2 linked regions of the Tribolium castaneum genome follow. The protein of the gene in region 2 interacts with the protein of the main gene of each other region in a pairwise test. Links are inferred from orthologs where the notes say so. Each region holds a gene or a part of one and is shown on either strand. Other genes may lie near its edges.

What was found.
Region 1: the proteins of hpo (region 2) and ex interact in a two-hybrid assay, tested with the Drosophila melanogaster proteins (2 studies listed by BioGRID). The link is inferred for Tribolium castaneum from reciprocal best matches to the Drosophila melanogaster genes hpo and ex.

What each region holds. Positions count from the first base shown.
Region 1 is NC_087395.1:21,723,520-21,727,760, forward strand, and holds the start of ex (protein expanded), read left to right. Parts: upstream 1-1,440; 5' UTR 1,441-1,660; intron 1,661-4,241. UniProt on the Drosophila melanogaster protein: Activates the Hippo/SWH (Sav/Wts/Hpo) signaling pathway, a signaling pathway that plays a pivotal role in organ size control and tumor suppression by restricting proliferation and promoting apoptosis.
Region 2 is NC_087403.1:7,370,068-7,374,228, reverse strand, and holds the start of hpo (serine/threonine-protein kinase 3), read left to right. Parts: upstream 1-1,352; 5' UTR 1,353-1,498; coding exon 1,499-1,512; intron 1,513-1,640; coding exon 1,641-2,161; intron 2,162-2,212; coding exon 2,213-2,500; intron 2,501-2,546; coding exon 2,547-2,680; intron 2,681-2,727; coding exon 2,728-2,893; intron 2,894-4,161. UniProt on the Drosophila melanogaster protein: Plays a key role in the Hippo/SWH (Sav/Wts/Hpo) signaling pathway, a signaling pathway that plays a pivotal role in organ size control and tumor suppression by restricting proliferation and promoting apoptosis.

The DNA of each region.
Region 1 (4,241 bases), on a different chromosome or scaffold from region 2:
ATAAAATATTATAGAAATAGATATTCTTGAAAAAAAGGAAGTTGCTTACAAGTACTTTTTGCGTCCAGAAATTTTATTATTTAAACTTAAACAATTGTATGTAAATTAACATTGCATGGCTGTTGTATTTTATGTTGTAGTTTAAAATAAAGAGTGTATTTTAGTCAATCATTTTAAATAATAAGCAAAATCTACTAGTAAAAAACATATTGAACAACTATGTATATCCAGAAATGCGCAAAATATGGGGTGTTTTATTTAGAAAAATATATAAATTTGCACTGTAACATTTTTTGGCTAAAAAGTTTTTTGGGATTAACTTTGATACAAATTTATTTAAATATTTTTTAACATACCGACAGTCAATAGCTTCACCATTCTAAAAATTTTTGGAAGCCCCCCCCTCCAAATTATTTTCAGGATCCGCCCCTGACCGTCCCCAGTTTTACAATGTTAAATAGCACCCTATCTACTTTTTCGAAAAAAATTTCTTCTCTAAAAGCGTCATTAATTTAATGCATGATTAACTGGTCACGTGACCAAATTGAACCAATCCGATTGGTCCATTCGCTCTGTTAACTTCTAACAGCGAAATTAACTTTAACTGAGCTTTCTATAAAAAGGCCCTAAATATTTCAGAAAGTATACAACATTTCCACCAAAAATAGAAAGCGATGATTTGAAGTAGTTGAAAAACTGAACTTGTGTATTTTTTTTTAATTCTTATCACTATCTATCTTATCACTATCTGTTAAATAATTAGAAAATTTTTGATTTGGTGCAAACATTTTTTGGGCAATGTCAACTCAGTTTTATTTATAACATAGGAATTAATGACAAAGGCGATTCAACCGGCGACTAGTTTCGGATTATTTAATTAAACCATCCTCAGCAAGAGGTGATAAAAAGTAAAGTTAGAAAGATACCTACTTCATAAATTGAAAATTAATTACGTTTTAAAATTTAAAATCAAGGATGTGAGCTTTTTTCGGTTGTTTTTTTTACTGTGAGCTTTTTCCGTGTGAGTTTTTTCGACGTGGGCTTTTTTCTTTGTGAGCTTTTTTCTTCTGGGTATTTATGTTTGTGGGCTTTTTCCTGTGCGCATTTTTCGCGTGGGCTTGGTGTTGGTCAAAAAATTTCGGAAGCAACCATCCCAAAATTTCTGTAAGCGCACCACGCGATCGCCCCCCGAAGGAGGCTATCGGCAATTTCCCATGAGGAATGCCGCGCTGCTCGAGGAATGTAACCTCTAGACGGGTACCAAACACACCTGAGCTGGGTACAGTCCCAAGGCGCGGTGGTACCGCGTCCGCGCTGGGCCGCGGTACCACTAAGTTGGCTGCGCGGAGTGTCCGCCCAGCGGCCCTGGCAGCGCGTGGAGGTGCCCCCCGAACGGGCCGCTTCCGCGCGCAGAACCGGACTGGGCGGGCGCATTCCAGCGATGTTTTGCCGCGGAGTGTACCTGACCGCTCCAGAGTTGAAATAGGGAATTTAGTCGAAGAACACCTTTGCCGGTTGATAGAGACGGCGCTCTCTGGCTCTGCGAAAGCACGTGTGTGGTGCCTGTGGGTGCTCTGTGTTGTGAATTCACCCGAATTGGGAATTGCGCCGGAATGGGGCTGCGGAGGGACGGTTTTTCGGATTTTTCTTTCGGCACATGGTGAGGATTCTTTCACAGAACGCGCGCTTATTTGCCCAAATTCCAAGGAACTGTGTCAGCGATCAGAGCATTGCTTCAATTTACACTGACGCCGATTTACAGTGAAATTTCTTTATAATGAGTCGTGCCCATCACAGATTAACGCGCCTCTCGCATGGATGGACACGGATTATTTCATCCGAGCGCTTTTTTAATCACATAATAAAATTACGGCTTTACAAAGTAATGCGGTTAAAAGTGTGGGAGGAGTAAACAATCAAAACGCGTTCCTATTTTGAGTTTTTACCTTCACAGTCCAACTGACAAAAAGTCTACACCAAAACAAAGTGGGTTGTTATTTGAAAACTTTTCTCATGCTCTATGAACAGGTGCGAGTGCGTTATTAAAGGTCAAAAAGGCACAAAACCAAAAGTCGGAACAACAATAAGTAGAATAATTTCGGATTTTTTTAAATTTTTGTTACACAAGCTTAATTGGCGCAGTCGGTAGGGTGGGGTTTTAGTAGTAATAATGCCTAACTTGAGTGTAAACAAAATTTCAAACAAAAGCCTTTATCTAAGATTGGTCGACACAACTATTGCATTAAACGGCCTTTACACCTGATTGCAATAATTGCAGTTTGATGGTCTTGTAAAAAATCAATCAAATGTTTGAGTTATCGCTCTGCGTTATCTCTATACATGTTATTTGCTTTTGAGCGAAATTTTCGTGTTACACTTACTTCCTACAAAGTTTACTCATTCAGTTATCGTTTGAGTCATAGTAGGAGGCGGATTTATTGTTCTGTCACCTATGAACAATTCATTTGTGGCAATAATAATAAATTACGATTTTGTAAATATTTTGAAATATTGAGATGATATTATTTCGTCGTACGCTCAAATTTACGCGCATTTTTTTTAAATGTACTAAATTAAAATTTCATTAATTGACCAAAGAAAAACAAGAGGCGAGTCCAATGTGTTTTTTTTTTGCATACCAAAAGCATAAATCCCAGAATCTAGACTCAAAAATTGCTTGCCGTGTTAGCAGTAAATAATTAGTTTAAGTTAATACGATCAAAAATAGAAAATGTTAATTTATTTAACAAATATTAGCGATTTTACAAATCAATTTGTTGTATAGCCAAACCCTCAAGCGATATGTATTCACTTTTTTTTAATAATTGAAATAATAATAAATAATAAAAAAATATAAATATAAATAAATAATAATAATAATAGAATAGATGTCTTAGGAGTAAGTGTATAAATATTTTAACCATAGATGACGCATTACAGTAAAACCTCTGAACAACGGACACCGATGGGGAATTTTTAATTGTCCGTTGTGGAGAGGTGTCCGTTTTTCAGAGGTTTCACTTTACAAATAAATTGATTACAATTTTCACTGTTAAATGATTATTAAAAAAACCACTGCATGCCAAATTTTATAAAAGTTGGATAGGTATTTTTAAAGACAATATTTTTAGGGTAACTTTTGGTGGCTAATAAACTCACTAAGAAACGTTTAAAACATTTTTTTAAAGCTTAATTAATGGTTAATCTAATATTTGCTCGGTACATCCTTCATAAATGATTACAGAGTAATAAAAAGGGCCTTAATTTTTAAAAAATATTCAAGAAGGGGCGAAGGAACAAGAAAACAATTATCCTTATTCTTCCTTAAGGAATTTATCAGTTAATTAAAAACCATTCTTTCAGAGTTTATGTTATTCTTATATTTTGAATCTTCTTAACTTGTTAGTGCTTTTGAAGGCAGAAATCTTGTACATACAGTGTGTTTATACGTTTCCAAGGGAGTTATAGGTACAAGTATTTTGCAATGCTGTGCAACCAATGAACATTATTTTATAAGAAAAAAATTAATTTTCTTATTCCCATTTTTAGTTTTTTCTTAACAAAAAAACACGAAAATTTTATAAAGAGTCAAAATGAAAAAAGGTTTTCATGGAATGCTGGCTTTTGTGTTTTTGGTTTCAATTGAAACATGTATATTTTCTGGCTTAATTTTTTAAATTTAGTTTAATTTTTGCAATAGTGTGCATTTTTATTTATTTAAATCTTAGATCTTAGAATTAGATCTAGTGTCGGTATAAGTTTCCAATCGTTTTTTTTTCCTAATTTAAATTATCCTTTGCGTATACAATATGAAAAAAATTGCAATCTTTTGGAAAACGCGCTTTAATTTATTGCTAGTTTAGTTCAATTTGCAAAAAAATTAAATACCCGTAAAGATATGCGAAAATTGTGAAAAGTAGCTAAAATAATTTCTGTGACAGATTATAACCCAAATCACTAATGTGGCTGACAATTAAAATAAATTCCTAGGTTTGTACTTTTAAGGACGAAATTATTATTAAAATAGTGTTTTTTTAATAAAAATATTAGTATCAGATTCTTCTTCAACTTCGATATTGTAATTGTAAATATTTTTCCAGTCGCTGATATGTTATTGTTAGACAAAAATTACAATGGTTTTTTTCACATTTCGGTGAGGAATTTTCCCAGAGTACCGTTTTTTGCGTGGAATTTCATCCCATCACCAAAACGGCATCAGTTGCCATTCTCGTGTGGCTTCA
Region 2 (4,161 bases):
GTTTCGACTGTTAAATATTCGGGGAAATACTCGATTATTTAAATCAAGTTGACTTGATTTGGCATAATCAGCTTACATTAATCATATTATTTAAATATTAACAAAAAAAATGGATAATTTCGTAATAGTATTTTCAAAAATAGTAAATAGGTGAAGGTAATGTAAAAGAATTAGCAAAGTTTTCGTTGCAAAACTTGCTAAATAATAAGATTTCCACATTTTCATCTCTCAAGATAAACAGAAGAAAATCTTATTGAGTTGTTTTATTTTTGTCTAATCTTTATCGCAACTTATAGCGAAATTTAAAAAAAATCCCTACAAAGGTTATTGCTGCAGCAAATAAAAATTACAGGGGAAAACAAGTTTTTTTTTAAATTTGTATTTTACATTTGTCATCAACTGTTAACTACTGCTTTAAACTACTACTCTGTCTCTATTCAAGGAAAAAAACAGTGATTATCTGTTGTTATTATTACATTATTTCTCGTTTTTTTTTCTGAAATTATAAACGGCTAAATTCTGTGTATAAGTTGAACTAAATAAACTTGTTTTCTTGGAAAATGTGCCATTACTTTGCAAAATTTACCTATCAATGAAAAAAATCCGCACGTGTTTGATGAGCAATTTCGGTGTAAAATATTATAAAAACTGATGAATTATGAATCTAGCTTAATTAACTCAATTAATAAAATGTATCGTTTTTCAGAAACAAAATTTTGTAAGTTGTTTAAATCAAAATAATAATTGCAAAATTAGTCATATATTTTGTGATGAGAAACCAATAAATCTATCGATATAAAGTGCAAAACCTTAAAATATTATCTGTTAAACTTTTTAACCAGGTTATATCAAAGAAAATGTGGAAAACATTTTTTTTAATTTAATACGTTTCTACAATATAACTTTCTAAAATAATATTTATAAAAATATACAGAGTTTCTCTGTTATTATTAAAACATTTGTGAATCCGATTATACTCTATAAAAATATTTTGAAAAATGAAGACTGAGAGGAAGTAAAATCAAAACTTCAATAAAAACTCTTGAATGGACAAATGTCGTGCTTATATCGGCCAAAAAGTATTGAAATGAAAAAATTGCGTTCGGGGAAATACTCGATTTTCCAAAAATCAACAGATGAAAGTCACTAGATTTGGTGATATAGGTGGAGACACTTCTCGGAGGATACTGAAGGAACCTTCCCACTTATATAAAAGATAGGTAAACATCTCGTCTAACGTGTACTAATTAGAAAAAATATGATATTAGTTGTTACCATATTGCAAGATTTATTTATTAAAAAAACAGTGAAGAATTCTCATTCTCGTCCAAGAACATTCTCTTCGTAATCCGCGCCTGCGTACTAGACCCGGCAGACTCGCAACATTTGACTGTATTCAACATGGAGATTTTGATTACAAGAACATATAATTTCTAGATAAGTTCCAATTAAAGATGTGTAGTGTGTTTGGTCTTACGTGTGATTTGTAATAAATAAAATGTCTTCCAAGAGGTAAGTTTCGTAAATTGTCCAACAGTTCGCCCGCACGAGCCTTGTCAGTCTAAAAGTTAACCTATTTTTCTTATTTTTGAAGTCATCGAAAAGCTCGAATTAGCCCTCTAAGCCTTTGAATGTTTTAGTGAATTGAAGAAACTGTCTGAGGAGAGTTTGACTCGTCAGCCGGAGGAAGTTTTCGATATAATATGCAAGCTGGGGGAGGGATCTTACGGGAGTGTTTACAAAGCACTCCACAAGGAATCTGGCCAAGTATTAGCAATTAAACAAGTACCTGTGGATACCGATCTTCAAGAAATCATCAAAGAAATCTCAATCATGCAACAGTGCGACAGCCCCTACGTCGTTAAGTATTACGGGAGTTATTTCAAGAACACTGATCTGTGGATTGTCATGGAGTACTGTGGGGCCGGCTCCGTCTCCGACATCATGAGGCTGCGCAAAAAGACCCTCACGGAGGACGAGATCGCCACGATTTTGTCCGACACCCTCAAAGGCCTAGAATACCTGCATTTGCGTCGGAAAATCCACCGGGATATTAAGGCCGGTAACATTTTACTCAATTCAGAGGGCCACGCGAAGTTGGCTGATTTCGGCGTTGCCGGGCAACTGACGGACACCATGGCGAAAAGAAACACTGTGATTGGTAGAACATAATCGCGCCACAATGGCCGCGTTTTTTCACGTTTTGTTACAGGAACCCCTTTTTGGATGGCTCCCGAAGTTATACAAGAAATAGGATACGACTGTGTTGCTGATATTTGGAGTTTAGGAATTACGGCCCTTGAGATGGCCGAGGGTAAACCACCCTATGGTGATATTCACCCCATGAGAGCAATATTCATGATCCCAACCAAGCCGCCCCCTTCGTTCCGGGAGCCTGACAAGTGGTCGCCCGAATTTATCGACTTTGTTAGCGTTTGTCTTGTTAAAAATCCCGAGGAAAGGGCGAGTGCCACTGATTTACTCAGTCATGTATTTATAGGTATTAGCACATTCCCGCAGTTCAAGTCACTCTAACCTTGTTTTAGGTAATGCTAAGCTCCCTAGTATTCTAAGCCAAATGATTCAAGAAGCACACGAAATTAGAGAAAACCAAAGTTATAGGAATGTATCCTCTGCTGCTAACATTGTAGGCGTTAGGCAGAACATCACTGAAGAATCAGTAAGTTTGACAACAAAAATTGAAACTTTTAACCGATTCTTCAACAGGATGATGAAGTAGCTTTAGGCAATCAGACTATTCTTCCTTGTACAGATGAAGGCACCTTGGTACCCGGCAAAGGTGGCACTTTACTGCCAGTATCACAGAGTGGTACTTTAGTAGAGCTTGGAACCATGGTTATCAACAGTGACGTTGACGAACAAACCATGAAACGTAAGTTCAATTAATTGCACACAAAGATCTTAAATTTATCTGATAAAAAAAATTGAGCGTGTGAGCATTTTAAAAACTAAATAATGACTCAATTAAAAGTAGCTTTTGGCTCTAAATCAATCATATTTTGTAATTTCATGTAAAAAATGTCTAAATTTATCGGTATAAAAGGTAAACTGTTAAAATATGTCCTGAAAATTGCTACTTTTTACAAAGGATTGAAATAACAGCCTGACCATTTTTTTGGACCAAGTTATACCAAGATGGTGAGATAAAGGTAGCAAAGAGCGCCACCTATCGGGGTTATACCAAATAAGAAAAAAGTGTTCCTCTTATTGATTAACCGGCAATCGGAAAATTAAACTTAATTTCAAAAATAATATTTGTGGAAACATACAAGTGTTTCTCTGTAATCTTTAAACATGAAACATATTTGGTAGCATTTTGCTTTTCCTAATTCGCCCACCACAAAATAAAACTAAATTGTAAGAGCTTTAATAGTGACAGTCACCGCCAAATTTCCTACGATTTTTGGAAATAAAACTGACTTATTTAATAATTTTATAACGTAAATATGGAATTGAATAACAGAAAACATTAGCAGCTTAATTATTATCTAATAAGGTAAGGTATTAATAAAACTTGGTAAGTCTGTAACAGTGTTCTTAAGAATAGTAAATAAGTAAAGGTAAGATAAAGTAGATCTACCAAAGTTTTCACTGCATTAACGTACGAAATAATGACTTCCACCTTTTCATTTTTCAAAATAAGCAGAAGAAAATCTAATTGAGATATGTTATTTTATTTTTGTCTAATCTTTATCGTAACTTATAACAAAATAAAAAAAAGGTTATTGGTTCAGCAAATGAAGTTTACAGGATATTTTTTTCAAAAGTTTTTATTTTACATTTGCCGTCTAGAGGAAAATTGACTGTTGAATGCTGTCTCTATTCAAGGAAAAAACGGAGATTATCAGTTATTATAACATTTCTCATGTTTTTTTTTGTTTTTTAGTGAAACTGTAAACGACTAAGTGGTATTTTAATAATGCAATAACAAAACTTCAATAACACAAAATAATTAGAACTTGATTTTTTTATTTTAAATCAATCGTATTTTGTAATTTTGTGTAAAAAAATATGAGCATTTATCGGTATAAACGACAAAATGTCAAAATATTTCTTAGAAATTGCTACTTCTTCTACTTCTACTTCTACTCTACTTCTACTTCTTCTACTTCGTAAATAAACGGATCGAAATAACCAAAT